Caenorhabditis elegans: one gene and its partners. The main gene of each other region encodes a partner of the protein of the gene in region 2 in a complex. Each region holds a gene or a part of one and is shown on either strand. Other genes may lie near its edges.

Region 1 (6,208 bases), about 12 Mb from region 2:
AAATCAGTTGAGAACTCTGCGTCTCTTTTCCCGCATTTTTTGTAGATCTACGTAGATCAAACCGAAATAAGACACTCTTATACATCACGTGATTCGCCGAGGCACCACCGAAAGGAGAACAGGTGAAAAAGGAGAAAAACGAGAAGGAGAACACAAAACCACGCCCATTTTTCGTGCGGTGCGCAAGTTTTTTCAGAAACTTCTGCGAATTTTCATTTTCAAACGAAACAACGAAACTCCGAAATAACGCATTCACGATAAACAACACGCGATACGTTATTTCGGAGCTTCGTTGTTTCGTTTGAAAATGAAAATTCGCAGAAGTTTCTGCAAAAACTTGCGCACCGCACTGAAAAATGGGCGTGGTTTTGTGTTTCGTAATTCTCCTTTTCGTTTTTCTCCTTTTTCACCTGTTATCCTTTCGGTGGTGCCTCGATTCGCCCCGCCTTCTCTCGAACCAATCAGGAGAGATGGGCGTGGTCGAAGTCGCTGATTGGTTGGAAGTTCAAACAGTTAGAAAGTAGCCGAAAATATGAATTTTTCGGTTTTTCTAGATTTTTAAATTGTGGTTTTTCTGAATTTCAGACAAAAAAAAGCAAAATTCTTGTTTGAATTCCCATGAAAATAAGAACTACAGAGACTTTTTTGGTTTTTTTTTAGTATTTTGTAAGATTGATTTTTCTAGACCAAAAAAGCCAAAAAATTCACTTTTTTACGGTTTTAGGACCAATCAGAGACTCGCTCCGCCCACTTGTCGACCAATCAGAAGAAGTGGGCGTGGTGTCTAATTTTGGAGGAAATTCAAACTGGAAATTTCGCCAAAATTTAAAAATCGCATTTTTTGAAGTTTTTTTTCTTCTGTTTTTCCATTTGCTCTCCTTTTGTGAGACACCACGTTTTCAAGATCTAGTCGGAAACAAGATCTACGAAAATAAGATCTACGAAACGAAGATCTACGTTTTCAGGATCTGGCACCATGCCAACTGCGGTTTTCACAGTTTTCTCGAAGAAAATCGAAAAAACGATGCTCCGATATTACACGGCTCGCGTTGTTTATCGTTCAGAAAAGCTTTTTTTGAAATAAAAACTTTTGGAAAACGATAAACAACGCGCGATGCGTGATATCGGAGCATCGTTGTTTCGATTTTCTTCGAGAAAACTGTGAAAACCGCAGTTGGCATGGTGCCAGATCCTGATAGCGTAGCTCTCGTTTTCGTAGAACTCCAAACTGTAGATCTTGCTTTCGTAGACATTGTTTCCGACTAGATATTGAAAACGTGGTGCCTCAAAAATCGCGTTTTTTTTTGTGGTTCTTCTGAATTTGGGAACTTTTTTCGAAGCGAAGCTTACAAGATCCGCCGATTTGCAAATCTCATTCGAAATATCATCGACAATTTGAATAGAAGTTCTGGGATTCTGCGATGGGGTTAGAAGCTCCTGAAAATTTGAATTTTACAGGATTTCAATTGGATTTCAGAGCTCTCCTAAATACCTGAATAAGAGCATCAGTTGATTTTTTAACTGCCGCCGGTAATTCATTGAAACTTTCTGCGGTTTTCAAGTTTTTATTTCCAAATAATCCCTGAAGTTTTAAATTTAAAAAAATCCATTTTCTTGAAAAAAAAAACCGTTTCTTTGTCGACCTTCTCGCTTCGAAATGCTCTAGCCACCCAGCTATTCCGGCTTATCGTTCGACTATGCCGTAATATCACACTTCGAAGCATTTAGTGCTGTAGAAAAAATCACTATAGTCTAAACTAAACTGGATTCTATTGATATAAGGAACGTTTAACCTTTTTTTAATATCGAGAATCGGAGATCAGACATTATATTTCAGATAAATGGGGATGAAAAACACGTAAAGTGGTGTAAAAATTTGAGAAACAATGAAATAAATAAGAAAAAGTGGCATTTTTACAGTGAATTTTTAACAAAAAAAGGATATTTATGAAGCTTGACTCGACTCGTCCGACTCGTTGTGTGCTGTTGCAGATGGTCTTGGAACGTCTGGAATATAGTTGCTTCCCATATTTTCCTCTTGACCTGACAATTCCATTTCGTCCGTGGCGGCTTGCATACCAGAATTCCGACCGAGGAAGTTCATTGCTGAAATCAACATTTTTAATGTTTTCCAGAAGATTTTGAAATGAGGACGCACAAAAATGCTTATTTTTGAAAAAAAAATCGTTCCACGACCAATTGAATCGGCTAAATCGTAAATTTAGAATTTTCCTTCAGGTATTTTTTGTCTTTTTTTTTTGTGCTTTTTAATTAAATTTTAATAGTTGATAAAAAATGTTAAACCTCGTATCTGATGTCAAAACTTCTGAAAAATCCGCTTTCAAAAAATTTCCCCAAGAAGGTGAATTTTTCTGCGTCTTCATAATAATTCAGAATTTCCAAATCTACCTCTTGGCGGAACACGTCGTCTTCTCGATCCAGCTGGAGAATCAGCAGCATGAATTTTTCTCCGTGGTCCACTCATATCGTTCTCCAAATCTTCATCATCAAAATAATCGTCATCCTGGAACAAACATTCCTAAAGGATTTAGAAATATTCTAAATGCATTAACTTACATCTGCCTGCTGCGGACGACCGAGATGTTGTGATTTGAATCGAACCGGATGAGCCCAACGGCTTGTCGATTTTCCATGGAATCCATCGTCGGCGAGAAGATCGGCTCTTTGAGCTGACAACTTGTTCCACACATTTTGCATATTTCCGAGAAGAGTTGTCAATCTTGGCATCAGAGAGAATACGGTCATTGTTTTCTCTTCCTTTTCGAAACTATCAGTGAACTCAGCAGCATATCGATCAATGGTTTTGAGCTTTTGAGCAAGCAAGTTAGCTTCCTTCAAAATTTCAAAATTCGGTTGAAGTGTTCCGTCTTGCACTTTTTCGAGATAGGCAACGATTAGCTGAAAATTATTTTTTTGTAAAAAAAATTAAAGGCGGAGTAGTCGAAATTGTTTTATTGCTTTATTAGACTCAAAATTGTCTGAAAACACCGAATTTCATAATGAAACTTCTTGAAAATTTCTCAATAAAAAGTTATGACGGCTCAAAAAATGGCCTAAAATTAGTTAAAATTTGAAATTTGACCGTCTTGCAATGTTGCAGCGGCTGGAAACAATTTTTTTTTTTGAAAGCACCGTCAAATTTTGAGCATACAATGTCATTATCTTGCGTTTTTAACTCGATTTGGGTACTTTAAAGTCGATGGACGGCGAGATTTCGTAAAAAAAAAATTAAAAATATCGCCGTCCATCGGCTTTAAAATACATAAATGAAGTTGAAAACGCAAGATATTTAAATTTTATACTCAAAATTAGATGGAGATTTCAAAAAATTAGTTTCCAGCCGCTTGACAAGTCGGTCAAATTTCAAATTTTAACTACATTTAGGCTATTTTTTGAGCCGTCATAACTTTTTTTTGAGACGTTTTCAAGAAGTTTCATTATGAAATTCGGTGTTTTCAGTCAATTGTGAGTCTAATAAAGCAGTAAAACTATTTCGACTATTCCACTTTAGTTTGCTGCTGTATTGATTTTCATAACGAGATTTCTCAAAATAATATTAATAAACTTTTTAAGTATGTCAAAATTTCAAAAAAAAATAAGAGCCAAAACTGTCTAAATTCTGAAATTTCGCAAACTTTTCATGTCGCAGCAGCTGTTGTTACATATTTTAGTCGTTTAGCTCGCAATTACTAGTAAATGGAGGTACTTTTTTCAAACATTTTTTCCAAAATTAGGTGTCAATCGACTGAAAATGTGTCTTAAATCAACGAATTAATGCGAGATAAGATCGAAATATGCATTTTAGCGAATTTTAGGTATTATTTTAAAATTTTTGAACCGCTAAACAGCATTTTCAGAAGTCTCATTATGAAATTTTGTCTTTTTCTGGCCTCCAATTTCTCGAACGCACATCAACCCGATTCTGAAGCATGCTCATTGCTGCATCTTGAGCCTCCGCGTGTTTCTTTCCAACTGATTTCCCGTCTTTTCCATGTTTCGTTGATAACTTAGCGATATGATTAACACCGACACGTTCACTTTCTTCCGACACTAAAATCCATTCAATTGGCTTATGCTTCTCCTGATCAGTCACGTCTGCTTCAAACGCGAAAAGTGGAAGTTTACGAGTGGTTCCAGCAGTGATAGAGTTGAGTTTAAGGAAAAGTGTCGCGTCGATTTGTCCGGCTTTCTCTGAATTGCGAACCGCATTGGTGAGTTTTGAGAGAAGAGGTTTCTCTTCGGGAGTCAGATTATCATCCTCCCCAGCACAATAAAGACCGATAACTTGGAGCTCGGGAAACACTTCCAGATCTGAAATTTGGGGAAAAAAAACTAAAATGAGCAAGAACAGAGTAAAACTGACATTGATCTGCTCTTTGAAGGAGATGCTCCGTGCTAAAAGTAACCGGCTCAGCCATTTCTTCTGTCTCCATTTTCAGAACAAATGAATTGATCGCCTCGACTTGTCGTCCATTCTGCCGTCCGAGAATTGCTCCGAACACTTTTTTCACAGTAGGACCCTGTTGGACCTTTGTTCTGGAGTAGTGTTCGGACATTTGCATAATAACCAAAGGATGCAAAAGCACCTTCGAGCTACAGCTCCCGCTTGGTGCGTTCAATGCCATTTCTGAAAATTATTTCGAAATTTGGTTTCGAAATCGGTTTTTTTGTTTCAAGCCAGATAATGATTTGGAAATTTTGAAAATATTCCTGGATTCACTGGTGGAAAAACAAGCTAAACGGGAATTTTATTGATTCACATTGACATAAGTTTTACAGAACATAAAACTTCCTACAAAAAAGAGATAATGCAATCGAGTGGAAATTATTTAGGATCCTGGAGCCTTGACGTGGCTAAGTGGTGGAAGTGGAGTTCCGTTGACCAACGAGATGAGGTTGTAGATGGCGATGACAAAGCAGATGTAGGAAAGGACCTTGGCGATCTTGCTGACAGCGACATCGAATGGTCCAGCCTCTTCGGACTTCTTTCCTTCGAGAAGAGCATTGGCGTAGGTATCAACTCTTTTCTTGAGGATTGGATCGTAGAGTCCGTACTTTCCCATGACAAGGTTTCCGCATTTGGTTCCCTCTGGCAGACGTGGAAGGATCTTTCCTCCGGCTCCGAGTTGCCACTCTCCTGGGTTCAGTGGATCGAATTGTTCGAGGGTTGGTGGGGTCTTTCCGGCGTTGGTTGGAACAGCCTGGAAGCTGGCGGTTCTCATGGAAAAGCGAGCGACGCCCAAAGTCTTTCTCAAAGCCAACGACATGATTTTCCTGAAAAATGTGTTTTAAAATGTGGAGAAAGAAATAAAGAATAAAAAAATGAAATTAAGATAAGAAAAGTGAAACGAACACTTTTTATGAACATAACAAATATAATTTGTTAAAAAGAATGAAAAGCTTTATTTATAAACAAGTATTTACAGTGGCCATGGGCACCACTAATAAAATGGAAGAGGACTGGCGTGATAAGCTCGTTTTCCACATTCCAGAACTGCATCAAACAAACGGAAAAGTCCAGTATCTCTTGGTCGCTCTAAACCTCTACGCATTCTTCTCCTCATCACAGCAACCATTTCTTCATGTGATAATTTTCCATCCAAATTGTCATCGAACAAAGTAATCACCACATCCACAACGTGATCCGATAGAGGTATTCCAGTCACTTTGACCGCAACTCGTTGAAGTAGCTTCGCATCTATCGACATTCCAGCCATTTTATGAAAGTGTAGAGCAATATCTACATCGTCAATGTGATACAAAAACTCGAAAAATGCTTTCGTCTCTCCAAAACTGATTCCTTTCAAATTTTCTCCTTTAAATCTTCGTTTAACCCGCTTCAACATATGCTTCTGTTTCTTCTCATTAATTTGAGCATGAAGAAGGAGAAGTTGAGCAAAACTATCTTCGTTGATAAGTCCATCCGGGTTATCCAGTGCATCTCTCCGTTCAAATTCCATCTTTAAAATGTCGTGTTGTAGACGCTCTTGAAACTCGATAAATTTTTCAGACGACAAGCTCCCCTTTCCGTCTTTTCCAAAGAAATATGTTTCGAGAGCGGAGTTTGTCTCGACACGGAACGACTGGTTTGGCGTTATATGATCTCGATGACGCTGTCCTACAGTTGTTTGGGACATAATAAGCTGTTGAACTTTTGTGAATTCTTCTTTATCCAGCGCACCGTTCC
Region 2 (7,317 bases):
GCTGGGCCTTGGCGCCTTCTTTCGCCGCTTGTGGGCCGTTGAATTTCGGGCTTGTGTCGGAATTTATTGCGATTAGGGCCTGGGCCGCGTCCTTGATACGGCCTTCTTTTTCGTAGAGGCTTGCAAGCATGAGGCGGAGGATACAGACCTGAAAAATTGGGATTTTAGGCTTAAAAAAGGGTCTTTTAACGAAAAATGTGTGACTTTTAGGACATTTTTCCAATTTTTTTCAATTTTTCGCATAAAATTAAATAAAAATGGAATTTTTGCCTTTTTTTTTTCAAATTTTCAGTTTCAAAATAAAAAGCTTTAAAAAAGTGGAAATTTCTAGTTTTTAGGCTTAAAATAGGCTTCTTAGACGAAAATTTTCAAGCTTTTCGTTAAAAAAAAACAGGAAAAAATTAATATTTGTATAAAAAAATTGAATTATCAGCTAAAAATTACAATTTTTGCACTTTTTCAGTGCAAAATTTGTATTTCTTTTAGAATTTTACGCCAAATTCTACTTTTTTCCCTCCATTTTTCACAATTTTTCATTGAAAACTCAATTTTTCTAGATTTTTCTAGGTGAAATAATTTTTTATTTTTAAACTGAAAAGAGTTTCGATATTTTCCAGAATTTTGCCCTTTTTCTTCAATTTTTCTTCAATTTTATAACGTTTTTCTCGATAAATAAGGGGTTAAGCCTGAGCCTGAGCCTAAAGCCCAAAATATCGGAAAAAAAAAACGATTGAAAATTTTTCCGAAAAATCACATAAAATCCTGAATTTTAAATCGAAATTTTTTTGAATTTCTGCTAAAAAACTCCAAAAATTCCGAATTTTTTTTTTCAAATATCTTCAAATTTTCCGCAGAATCCCATAAAATCGTTCGTTTTTCTTCAAATTTTTCAATTTTTTCTGCAAAATGCTCCATTTCACTGCAACTTTGTCCTCACGAGGGACGAGGAAAAGTGGTTTCTAGGCCAAGGCCGAGGGGCCGACAAGTTTCAGCGGCCATTTATCTTGCTTTGTTTTCCGCCTGTTTTCTTTTGTTTTTCACAGCTTTGTCCCATTTTTTCTTATTAAAACTGATAAATCAATATTTTTTGCAGATGCTAAAACAATTTCCAAGTAAAAAAATTATGTATTCAGTGGGCAAGCAGCGGTGAAAGTGGTCAATGCAATATGATGGATTACGGGAATACAAAACCTAACCTTTTTCTGAAACATGATACATATGATGCTTAGATGCTGAAATTACCTGATTTTCATAACGAGACCGCTGAAAAAGTTTTGAGATTTCCACAATTCAACTTTTTTGGTGAAAAAGTCGAGATTTTCGCACAAAAAGTTGAATTTTGGAAACCTCAAAACTTTTTCAGCGGTCTTGATATGAAAATCAGGTAGCTTCAGCATCTAAGCATCATATGTATCATGTTTCAGAAAAAATTTAGGTTTTGTATTCCCGTAATCCATCATATTACAATGCCCACTTTCACCGCTGCTTGCCCACTGAATACATAATTTTTTTACTTCGAAATTGTTTTATCATCTGCAAAAAATATTTATTTATCAGTTTTAATAAGAAAAAACGGGAAAAAGCTGTGAAAAACGAAAGAAAACAGGCGGAAAACAAAGCAAGATAAATGGCCGCTGAAACTTGTCGGCCCCTCGGCCATGGCCTAGAAACCACTGTTCCTCGTCCCTCGTGAGGAAAAAGTTGCAGTGCATTTCCAAGTACCTGATCCTCATAAGAGATGGTTCGAGTCTTAATAATCGCCAAAATTCCTTCTGAAATAGCCTTAACACATTCTGATTCCAAATGTTGATTATCCAATCTTTCAGTGATAAGTGATACAAATTGACGTGATACAACCATACTTCCAGTCTCCAATGCGATTACTGCAAACATTTTTGGGGTTATAGGCTGCTAAAAATTCTAAAAGAAATACAAATTTTGCACTGAAACAGTGCAAAAATTGTAATTTTTAGCTGATAATTCAATTTTTTTATACAAATATTAATTTTTTCCTGTTTTTTTTAACGAAAAGCTTGAAAATCTTCGTCTAAGAAGCCTATTTTAAGCCTAAAAACTAGAAATTTCCACTTTTTTAAAGCTTTATTTTGAACCTGAAAATTTGAAAAAAAAATGGTAAAAAAATTCCATTTTTATTTAATTTTATGCGAAAAATTGAAAAATGTCCTAAAAGTCACATTTTTCGTTAAAAGGCCCTATTTTAAGCCTAAAATTGGCTGAAAATCCAATTATTCTGGAAAAAAAGTTAAATAATCACTTTTTCCGTGGAAAAAACAGCTGAAAATCCGATTTTTTCAAGAAAAATATATCAAAATCCCTGAAAACTCGATTTTTTCGTGAAAAATCAGCTGAAAATCGCTTAAAAACGCAGAACATTGAGAATTTTCGAGAAAAATCGTTGAAAAACGCACTTTTTCCGTGGAAAAACGGTTTGAAAATTTGAGTTTCTTAATTCAAATTTTTCAAGAAAAATCCAATTTTTGGGGGTTTTTTTTGGCTTCTGAGGGTGAAAAAGGCTCAAAATCTGAATTTTCTGTGAAAAATCGGTAAAAGGTCGCTTTTTATACCGGAAAAATCGAATTGTTCGAGGAAAATCTTTAGAAATTCAATTTTTCCCGCGAAAAAACGGTTGAAAACTACTGGCTGAAAATCACATTTACCGTGAAAAATTGGAAATTTCGCGTTTTTTAAAGGAAATTTTTAACTTTTCAAAAAAAAAAAACAAAACTGCAGAAAACGAACGAAAAATTGGATTTTTGTGAAAATTCATAAATTACATTGAAAAATTTTTTTTTTTGGATTTGGAGCTGAATATTGGCAGAAAATCCGATTTTTTCAGGAAAAATCTTTAAAAATTTACATTTTTTTTTACAAAATGGACTCAAAATTAGCTTAAATCGCTCGAAAAAGGCTGAAAATTCCATATTTTTCACTTAAAATATTTCACTTAAAATATGGAATTTTCAGCCTTTTTTGAGCGATTTAAGCTAATTTTGAGTCCATTTTGTAAAAAAAAATGTAAATTTTTAAAGATTTTTCCTGAAAAAATCGGATTTTCTGCCAATTTTCAGCTCCAAAAATTCAAAAAAAAATTTTTTTCAATGTAATTTATTTATTTCCAGCTAAATTTCAACAGGAATTCCGAAAATGTTCTCGTTTTCCGTCAATTTTTATCGAGATTTATCGATTTTCAGCCAGATTCCAACCAAATTGTCCAATTTTGAGCGATTTTCGTCCATTTTTTCACCAAAACTCATCATTTTTCGTAATTTTTAGCCAGATTCCCACTGAAAAATCCGAAATTTTCGTCGTGTTCCAACCTGTATCAATGATTTTAATAATTTCCGCCGTATCGACTCGTCCCATCGCATTTTGTGGCAAATATTTGTTGCAAAGCTTCGCCAATCTGCAAAAATCGGGGAATTTTTTGTCTGAAAATCGAGAAAATTTCGGCTTTTTAGCTAAAAAATTACATGAAATTTCAGAAAATCACATTTTACGTGAAAAAGCTGAAATTTTTAGCGTGATTTTCAGCAAAAAAATTAAAAAATTTTTTTAATTTGAGAATTTTCGAGTTTTTTGATACAAAAATTGGAAATTTTTTAGCTAATAATTAGTTTTTTTCCAATTTTTGAACGAAAAAAGTGCGGGATTTGTAAGAATTTTTCATTTCAAAATTCGTAGAAAATAAATGAAAACTTGAGTTTTTAAATAGAATTTTTCAGATTTTAAGTATAAAAATTTGAAAATTTCAGATTTTCTGGAAAAAAAAGATAAAAATTTCAATTTTTCGCGAATTTTACTAATTTTTTAAATTAGGAAATGTTTTTGCGTGAAAATTCGTTTTTTTTTCAAAATTTCTACATAGCTAAAATCGTTTTTTTTTTTTCATATTTTTTCAGCTGAAAATTTACAAAATTCAGATTTTCCAATGAAAAATACAAAAATTTGGGATTTTTTGCTAAAAATTTCCAGATTTTCACATTTTTAGCTCCAAATTTTCTCAAAAATCCAAAAATATTACGCTTCATATTGAGCCTTGTGATCGGTATCCTGTGCAAAAATGACCGCCACCTCCTGTGAACGTTCAATTTCGCCGCTCATTTTCAGCTGAAATTGTGGAAATTTTACAACAAAATTTTGGGGGGAATTTTCAGATAAAAATATAGGAAATTCGACTATTTTTTCTTTAAAATTTCTAATTTTTTGTGATTTTTTTGGAGAATTTTATAACAAACACAACGTGAAGCAAAAAACGAGAAAAAAAAACAAAATTTCGAGGGGGAAAAGCTGAAAATTATAGAATTTAAGGCGCAATTTTAAGATCATAAACTGTGATTTTCAGATTCAGAACGGGTTGGGGGATAGCATTAAAAATTATGGAGAATTGGAGGAAAAAGGCTGAAATTCGGCTGAAAATGGGGCAAAAGTTCGATTTTTCAGAAGAAAATGACAATTTTAAGCCCATTTTCTGGCAAAAACTGGAAAATTTTGGCTGAAAAATGCAAATTTTTAGCTAAATTTGACCAAAATCGAGTAAATTTGGAACTGAATTTTCGCGTTAAAAAAAAAAAATTAATTTTTAAGCAAAAATCGAATTTTCAGCTCATTTTCCAGCGAAAATCAATAAAAACGGGGAAATTGCAAAAAATCATACGGAGAAGGCATATAGAGCGGGAAAATTTAAAAAATACGGGGAAAAATGGTGGAAAATGAGCTAAAAACTGTTAAGCGAATTTTCAAGATAATTGCAATTTCAGCTCAATTCCCAGGGAAACGGCGGGGAAATTCGAGGGGAAAATCTGAAAAAGTGGGGGAAAATTGTCTAAAATTTCGCTGAAAAATCGATTTTCAGCTCATTTTCACTCAAATTTCCCCAATTTTTCAGCAAAAATGCACACAAAAAAATTAGGCCATTCCATCGTCATCCTCATCTTGAGCCTTTGGTCCACGTGGTTTTGGTCCTCCAGTCGCCTGCTTTGACATAATAATCTGATCAACTTTGAGAATTGTGCTGGCGGCGTCTGTGGCGAGCTTAATTGCCAGTCGTTTTCCAGCGTAGAGGTCGAAAATGTTGTTGACGACGGCGTCCATTGTTTCTGAAAAAAAAGAAGGAATTTTAGTTTAAAATTCGGGATTTTTCAGAATTTTGATTGAAAATTTACAAGTTTTATGCGCTGGAAATTGACATTTTTAGCCAAAATTTCGGGGGGTTTTGAGGAATTTTTACCTGAAAATTTGGCATTTTTCAGAGTTGAAAATGGCCGATTTTTGGCTGAGTTTTCGATTTTTTCATTCAATTTTTTGCATTTTTGAGTTGATTTAAAGAAATTTCAGTTGAAAATTTCGGATTTTCAGCTAATTTTCTGAGCTTGAACCGAAAAGTTGAGGTTTTTCAAAAGGAAAATTGGCCAATTTTGATTAAAACTTGAAAATTTTCTGTCAGTTTGCTGATATTTTTTTTTGGAATTTTTAGCAAAAATTGAATGTGTTGTCTGGAATTGGGGGATTTTTTTTGGAAATTTTGACGTTTTTTGGAAGAATTTCAGTTGACTTTTGACTGAAAATTGCCTATTTTTAGCGAAAATTCCGGGTTTTGTGAGGGTTTCCAGCTGTGAAAAATCAGTTATTTTAATGCAAAAACTGAAGAAAACTTTAAAAAAGTGAAGCAAAACAAAAGAAAATTGATGTTTCCGGTCACATTTTCAGTCAAAAATGCACATTTTCAGGTAAAATTCAAGTTTTTCGGCCATTTTTCGACCTAAATTATTGGATTTACAGTGGAAAATTTAGGTTTTCGGCGAATTTCAGCCGAAATTGTTAGATTTTCAGCAGAAACAGCGGAATTCCGGTGAAAATTCAAATTTTCAGTTAGAAATGTTTTCGGTAAATTTCAGCAGAAAATTTTGAATTTTCAGTCAAAAATTAAAGTTTTCCAGTCATTTTTCGACCTAAATTGTCAGATTTTAAACCGAAAATTCGATTTTCTTCGAATTTTCAGTGCTTTCATTGGGTTTTTTCAAGCCGTACCCCGCTTCCAGATATCAATTCCAGCGTTTTTCTTTCCAGCAACATGCTCCGCGTAGAGTTTTGTCAGAGTTTCAGTGGTTGGCATTCCAGCGTTCTCAGCAATAGCTTTTGGAAGAGTTTCGAGTGCGTGGGCGAACTTTTTGATTGCATATTGCTCCAAACCAGGTGCTTTTGCTCCAAACGACTCAATTTCTTTGGCGAGCTCAATTTCGACGGCTCCGGCTCCGGCGAGCAATTTCCCGTCTTTTGTAAGAGCTTTATAGGTGTTTACAGCATCATCGACAGCTCTTTCGACGTCATCAATACGAGATTGAGAGGATCCACGGATTATGATTGTGGCGACTTTTCCGGTTTCTGAAAATTTGAGAAAATTGAGATTTGAAGCTGAAAATTTGAATTTTTGGCTAAAAATTGGCTTTTTCAGTGATAATTTTAACATTTTCAGCTGAAATGGTAAATTTTTGGCCAAAATATTGGGAATTTACAGCTCAAATTTTGAGGTTTTATTTGCAAAATTTTCAAAAATCTAAATTTTTAAGTAAAAAACCGGAATTTTCAGCTGAAATTTCAGTTTTCAAGTGAAAATTCACAGAAAATGGCAAATTATCGGTGAAAAACACCTCGTGGGAGTCCAAATCTTCAAAAACAGGCCGTTTTTGAAATAAAAATTCATTAAAAAGTGACAATTTTCAGGTAAAAACGGTAGAAATTTTGGTCTAAGCTCATCAAATTCCGCAGTTTTATACGAAAATCACAATTTTCGACTGAAAACCGTCGAAAATTCCGAATTTTTTGGTCTAACATTGTAAAAATCATACTTGTTTGAGTCAAAACTCGCCAAATCGTTTTTTTAAAAGGTTTCCAGAGCTAAAAATTACAAAAAATCGGAGAATTCCCGTTTTGGGGGTCAAAATTTCCTAAATTCTCAGTTTTTCCACATTATATACCCGATTTCTTATCGAAAACGACGACATTTTCGTCTCCAATCTCTTGAACAGCCACAGAATCACAGTGTCCCAACAGATTAACAGCTGGAGCACAGATTCTTGCTTGTGGTTGAGCTCCGACGGTACGGCAGAGGCGGCGAAGATCGAATTTTGATGTAAGACGGACGGCCATAATTTTGTATTTATTCAGGAAATGGAGGTACATGTCTCCGAACTTTCCAGCGGCGACGACAACCTGAAATATAGGGAACTTTTTTAGGGAAAATTGAATTTTTGGGCGTAAAAAATTGAATTTTTAGCAAGAAAATCACATTTTTCTGGC
Region 3 (6,191 bases), 890 kb from region 2:
TTCATTTTTTATTCATATTTTTCGGTTTTTTTTATTTATAAACTTCAGAAAACTTTTAGTAATTTCAAATTTTATTTTTAAAAATTCAAGAAAACATTTTGATGTGGATTTACAAACCAGACTAAAATTTAATATAAATTTTTTTTTAAACAAATTTTTATATATTTTTTAAATTTTCATTTCATATTTTTCAGGTTTTTTTTGCAATATTTCAAAACTCAAAGAGCTCGAAAATTTAGTAATTTCAGATTTTATTTTAAAAAAAAGTTTTTTGCAACAGAAAACATTGAAAATGTCCCATTTTTGCGTTTTTTTGTCACTTATTTCCGAATTTTTCGGAAAAAAATATTCAAAATATAGTTTTCTTCAGATTTTACTGAAAACCCAATGCAAATGTTCAGAAAATCGCGTTTTTTTAACTTATAAAAATATTTTTGTAATTTTCGTTAACTTTTCAGCTTTTTAAATGTTTTTAAAACCAAGCAATTTTAAAAAAATTTAGTGTTTTGGAAGCTTTTTTGAAAAAAGTTTTTTGGAACAGAAAAAAATTGAAAATATCCTATTTTTGCGTTTTTTCGCACTTTTTTTCCGAATTTTTCGGAAAAAATTGGTTTTCGTAAGCTTTCACTGAGAATCCAGTGTAAATATTCAAAACAATCGTTTAAATATAATTATACATGTATAATTTTCGTTAACTTTTCAGTTTTTAAAAAAATGTTTTTAATCCAAAAAGAATTGAAAAATATTGTTTTTGGGGGCAATTATCAGTTTCTAGACATTTTTTTTCCAAATTTGCGTGTAAAAAACCTCAAAAAATGATGTATTTTCATATAACGTTTCTAACTTTTTTTCCTACAAAAAATACCCATTTTTAAAGGTTTTTTCACACGAAAATTTGAAAATATCCAAATTTCCAGATATTTCTTTTTTCTTCCATAATGCACCTTCATTCTTCCAAGAAAAACATCTCCAAAATCTCGTTCTCTATTATCACTCTTTTCCTGATCTTGAATACAATTCTCATTTGCAATCTCATCAACATGTAGATCAATAAATGGTTCAACAGATGCATAATCCTTTGTTTCAAGAGCACACGCAAAGAGCACACCGTGTGCAGAAGTGAGCACATTTGGAGCATTTGAGCCATTTCTTGGGAACATTGATCCGAGTGCTTTCATGATAATTCTTTGTCCTATTTCTGGTTTATTCTTCTTTTCCAAACAATATAAGCCGACGTCGCGGAGCAGTGGGAAAACTGAAAAAAAAATTTTTTTTAGAGGGAAATTGGAAAAAATTACATTTTAAAAGTTAAAAAAAAATCAAATTTTCAGTTAAATTTTCAATTTTTGCCTAGTTTTTCTTTAAATTCGAGCTTATTTGCCAATATTTTTCAATTTTTCTTGAAAGATTTTTCAATTGCTCCATTCAAAAAGTGAAAAAAAAATCTATGGAAAAGTGACTTTTTACAAGAAAATCGTTAAAATTTGTCATTTTTTCACTAAAGAATGCATTTTCAGACAACTTTTTTCTGTGGAAAAATTCGGATTTTCGAATTTTTTTGAGGACGAAAAATTAGGAAGTTCTTAGTTTTTTAATTTTCAGTCTGAAATTTATAGATTTTTGAGGGAAATTGAGAAAAAAAAAATAAAATTTAGGAAGAATTATAGGAAGAAGGAGAAATTTTCAGTTAAGTTTTCTATTTTTGCCTAGCTTTTCTCTAAATTCAAGTTTTTATTTTTATTTTCCTTTGAAATCCGACGTCTTTGACTTTCTGCTTTAAAAAAAAACGGAAAATTCGGCGAAGTGAAGCTGCATTTTTCTCTTTAAATCTAGATTTTTCGCATAAATTCCATGTAAATCATCCATATTTTCCAGTTTTTCTTCTCAATTTTATCTAGAAACTCACTAATTTCAGGTACAAGCTTCAAATGTCCTCCAACAAAATTATTCTCATCAACATAATGATTGAGAAGCTCAACAGCTCGATCTGTTCCAGTTTCATTATTTTTTGCAGCCGACGTATCAAACATTCCTTTAATTGCAGCAACCATTGCAGCTGAACCAACATTTGGACTACAATGAAGCAAAAATGCTTCAACATCGTTCGATTTCTTTTCGAAAAGCTCTTTATTCTTACGAACAATTCCAGCGGCCAGTTCACCAACATTCTCTGAAACTAAATACGGGAAATTAATGCGGAATTCTGGAAAAAATAGGCTTGACGGTATCCTTAAATTGAATTTTTTTTTAAATAAAACAAATTTTTTAATAAATTTATTTTAAAGCGGGATTACAGTTTGTGGGTATTCTGCTTAAATAGACTACAACTGGTCCAAAACCACCGAATTTAATAATGAAACAAAAAATTTTCAACAATTTTGTATGGATTTTTGGTTGAGGCTTAGGATTTTTGGGTGAGGATCAGGATATTTCGTTGAGGCTACCATGATTTTTGGTTGAGGCTAAGGATTTTTGATTGAGGCTCAGGATTTTTGGTTGAGGCTACCAGGATTTTTGGTTGAGGCTAAGGATTTTTGATTGAGGCTCAGGATTTTTGGTTGAGGCTACCATGATTTTTGATTGAGGCTCAGGATTTTTGATTGAGGCTCAGGATTTTTGGTTGAGGCTACCAGGATTTTTGGTTGAGGCTAAGGATTTTTGATTGAGGCTCAGGATTTTTGGTTGAGGCTACCATGATTTTTGGTTGAGGCTCAGGATTTTTGATTGAGGCTCAGGATTTTTGGTTGAGGCTCTCAGGATTTTTGGTTGAGGCTCAGGATATTTCGTTGAGGCTACCATGATTTTTGGTTGAGACTCTCAGGATTTTTGGTTGAGACTCAGGATTTTTGGTTGAGGCTACCATGATTTTTGGTTGAGGCTAAGAATTTTTGGTTGAGGCTCAGGATTTTTGGTTGAGGCTACCAGGATTTTTGGTTGAGGCTCTCAGGATTTTTGGTTGAGGCTCAGGATATTTCGTTGAGGCTACCATGATTTTTGGTTGAGGCTAAGGATTTTTGATTGAGGCTCAGGATTTTTGGTTGAGGCTACCATGATTTTTGATTGAGGCTCAGGATTTTTGATTGAGGCTCAGGATTTTTGGTTGAGGCTACCATGATTTTTGGTTGAGGCTAAGAATTTTTGGTTGAGGCTCAGGATTTTTGGTTGAGGCTCAGGATATTTCGTTGAGGCTACCATGATTTTTGGTTGAGGCTAAGGATTTTTGGTTGAGGCTAAGGATTTTTGATTGAGGCTCAGGATTTTTGGTTGAGGCTACCATGATTTTTGGTTGAGGCTCAGGATTTTTGATTGAGGTTCAGGATTTTTGGTTGAGGTTCAGGATTTTTGGTTGAGGCTACCATGATTTTTTGGTTGAGGCTCAGGATTTTTGGTTGAGGCTAAGGATTTTTGGTTGAGGCTTTCTGGATTTTTGGGTGAGGCTCTCCGGAATTTTGGTTGAGGCTACCATGATTTTTGGTTGAGGCTACCATGATTTTTTGGTTGAGGTCAAAATTAAAAAAGGCATATTAGTGCAAAAATCAGAAATTTTGCCCAGTTTTCTTTGTCGCAGAGACTGTAATTCAACTTTTCTGAAATTATCACTTTTAATTCACATTTTGGTAATTTATCTTGTGTAAATTCATTGATTGAGACAATTTTTAAGCGAAGAGACATCCAAAAATGATAAAAATTGGATGCCTCACGGTTTAAAATTGTCTCAATCAATGAATTTACACAAGATAAACTAATAAAACTTAGATTAAAGAGTGATAATTTCAGAAAAGTAAAATTCCAGTGGCTGCGACAAAGAAAACTGGGGACAAAGAAAAAATTTCAGATGTCAGCAAAATTTGGCTCTTTTTTTTCGGAATTCGATCCCTTTTCAGATGATATTCATCAATTTTTCACGAACTTCTACGAGAATTTCGATGGGTTTTTGAATGAAATCATTCAAATTTCCCGAAAATTTCAGCGAATAAATACATTTTCAAGTTGAAAAATTGAGAAAATCACTAATTTTCTTCTTTTTCCAACAAAACCCTCCAAATTACCATGTTTTTCACTGCAAAGCTCATTGATCGCAGCACACAATGACTCCATACTACCAAGATCCATTCCAGAAGAAGCTGCTGCAGACGATGATGATGAGGCTCCCGTGAAGAGCTTATTGAAAAAAGCTGAAAAAGCTTTTCCGATTTTTTTAGAAAATTTACAGGTTAAATAATAAACTTACTTGTCATGATCCTTTTGTGAATGGGATTTTCCTGTGATATCTGAAAATATTTACATTTTATCGTGAAAATGTGTGACAAGAAACGAGTAAGAGAAGATATACGAAAAAATAAGAGAAAATTGCACAGGGAATGGCGATTGGTGAGAAAATTTAGAGAAGAAACCGAGAAAAATATAGAAATTGAGTAAAAATCGAGCTTGTACAGGAAAATACCGAGAAATTAGTGAAAAATGGGTAAAATTTGGGGAAAAGAGAAAACTTTGCTAGAAAATAGAGGGAATCACGAAAATTTTAGGGTATTTCAGTTCAAATATCACCGAAAAAGCACCGTGTCAGGCATAAAACGCTGTTTTTTTGAAAATTACTTATAGAAAATACGCTAAACAACACGCGACGCGTAACATCGGAGCATCGTTGTCACGCTTTTCTTCGAGAAAAATAGCGTTTTATTCGTTGGCACGGTGCCAATTTCGGAAATTTTAGATCCAAAATCCCAGCTGATCTTGAATCCGTGGTGCCTCAAAACAGGTGAAATTCACAATATTTTCCTGCTCGGAAAAATTTCGAAAAAAAAATCGACAATACGGGGATTTTTCGAGAAAAACTGTGAGAAATGCCCTAAAAAAATGCAAATATTAGCTGGAAACGAAGAAATTTGGGTCAAAATTATAGAATTTTCAAATTAGAAAATGCGTGAAAAATTCAGGAAACATGATCGATTCAAGACGAAAAATACTCCTCGTCGTTATCGATTTTTTCAGTGCGTTGATTTTGAGAAGCGTCGTAAAATGGTACGGTATCGAGTGCAGAATGCATGTCAATCATATGAGTATTCATCGATTCGAATAATCGTTCGATTTCTCGTTCTTCTTCTGAATCATCCGAATCCGACTGAAAATATGGGGAATTTTAGTATATTCTAGTATTTTTGGATTTTTAGTTGAGGCTCTCTGGATTTTTGGTTGAGGCTTTCTGGATTTTTGGGTGAGGCTCTCCGGAATTTTGATTGAGGCCCAGGATTTTTGGTTGAGGCTCTCATGATTTTTGGGTGAGGCTAAGGATTTATGGGTGAGGCTCTCAGAATTTTGATGATTTTAATGAAAATTTGAGTTTTTTAAAGGTAAAAAGCTATTGGAATATTGCATTCAGCGAGTTTTTTTTATTTTTTGCAGCGCTAAATATCACAAAACAGATATTTTGTGATTCCTGGGACCGTTTTTTGGGACTTTCTGCTTTTTTTCAGATTAAAAAACTGGCGTCTGTCGCATTTTTTGTTAGTTTTTTGAGAGATCTTCGGAGTCGTTTAGCTAGAAAATAGACTGAAAATCGGATTTAAAAAAAAAGGAAAATCCTGCCAAAAACACATTTTCTAGATCACATTGAGCTTTTTACATTCCAAAAATCCCGATTTCTTCGTAAAATTGCACAAATTAATCCCTTTTTTATGGAAATCCGAATTTTTCCTTACAAATTCAAAATTCTCCTTGACACTCCTCGCTTGTTTTCTCTTTTTCCTCCTAGCCGACTCAATTTCATAAACTTGTAAATGAATATTCGACACATCTTCATGCGCTTCTTTCACTTTTCCCAACGCAGAAATCTGTGGAGCATCTAGCCATCGGAGCTCACCATTTCGAAAATCTTCCAGTAGTTTCAGCATTCCTTTCTCCTCGAATATCATACTACTGGGCTCCAGAGGCGATGGAGGCTCCCGAACAAGAGTCTCTGTCATTGTATTTGGATCCCATTCGTACATATCTGCGTCTCCTTCGTGTCCGAGCACTTTCTCGTCCAGAGTTCTCGATTCAAACCATTTTTCCTCGGATTCCGGGCTTATAAGCTTCTCGGGACGCTCCACGTGCTCTTCTTCCTCCTCTTCAACTATTTTCTTCTCCTCACGGTCTCCGCGCGTGAATCGATGGAAGAAATTAGTTATGGAGTTTGTAGTATCCTTTCGTTT

What was found. The genes of interacting proteins can lie anywhere in the genome.
Region 1: csn-4 (region 2) and csn-6 share a complex: the UniProt entries of both Caenorhabditis elegans proteins name them as parts of the CSN complex.
Region 3: csn-4 (region 2) and csn-3 share a complex: the UniProt entries of both Caenorhabditis elegans proteins name them as parts of the CSN complex.

The regions. Positions count from the first base shown.
Region 1 is NC_003282.8:13,299,268-13,305,475, reverse strand, and holds csn-6 (COP9 signalosome complex subunit 6), read right to left. Parts: upstream 4,653-6,208; 5' UTR 4,647-4,652; coding exon 4,385-4,646; intron 4,333-4,384; coding exon 3,932-4,332; intron 2,920-3,931; coding exon 2,578-2,919; intron 2,540-2,577; coding exon 2,410-2,539; intron 2,107-2,409; coding exon 1,946-2,106; 3' UTR 1,775-1,945; downstream 1-1,774. Other genes in the region: Y67H2A.7 (Peptidase M3A/M3B catalytic domain-containing protein), read right to left, coding at 1,351-1,437, 1,493-1,582, 1,629-1,724; kdp-1 (KASH (Klarsicht/ANC-1/Syne Homology) Domain Protein), read right to left, coding at 4,851-5,288; micu-1 (Calcium uptake protein 1 homolog, mitochondrial), read right to left, coding at 5,463-6,208. UniProt on the Caenorhabditis elegans protein: Component of the COP9 signalosome complex (CSN), a complex involved in various cellular and developmental processes.
Region 2 is NC_003282.8:1,082,886-1,090,202, forward strand, and holds the start of csn-4 (COP9 signalosome complex subunit 4), read right to left. Parts: upstream 4,129-7,317; 5' UTR 4,123-4,128; coding exon 4,043-4,122; intron 3,425-4,042; coding exon 3,339-3,424; intron 1,884-3,338; coding exon 1,723-1,883; intron 149-1,722; coding exon 1-148. Other genes in the region: cct-8 (T-complex protein 1 subunit theta), read right to left, coding at 4,927-5,117, 6,049-6,402, 6,996-7,230. UniProt on the Caenorhabditis elegans protein: Component of the COP9 signalosome complex (CSN), a complex involved in various cellular and developmental processes.
Region 3 is NC_003282.8:192,825-199,015, reverse strand, and holds the start of csn-3 (COP9 signalosome complex subunit 3), read right to left. Parts: upstream 4,275-6,191; 5' UTR 4,239-4,274; coding exon 4,232-4,238; intron 4,176-4,231; coding exon 4,050-4,175; intron 2,177-4,049; coding exon 1,907-2,176; intron 1,256-1,906; coding exon 945-1,255; intron 1-944. Other genes in the region: intk-1 (INTaKe), read right to left, coding at 4,952-5,122, 5,700-6,191. UniProt on the Caenorhabditis elegans protein: Component of the COP9 signalosome complex (CSN), a complex involved in various cellular and developmental processes.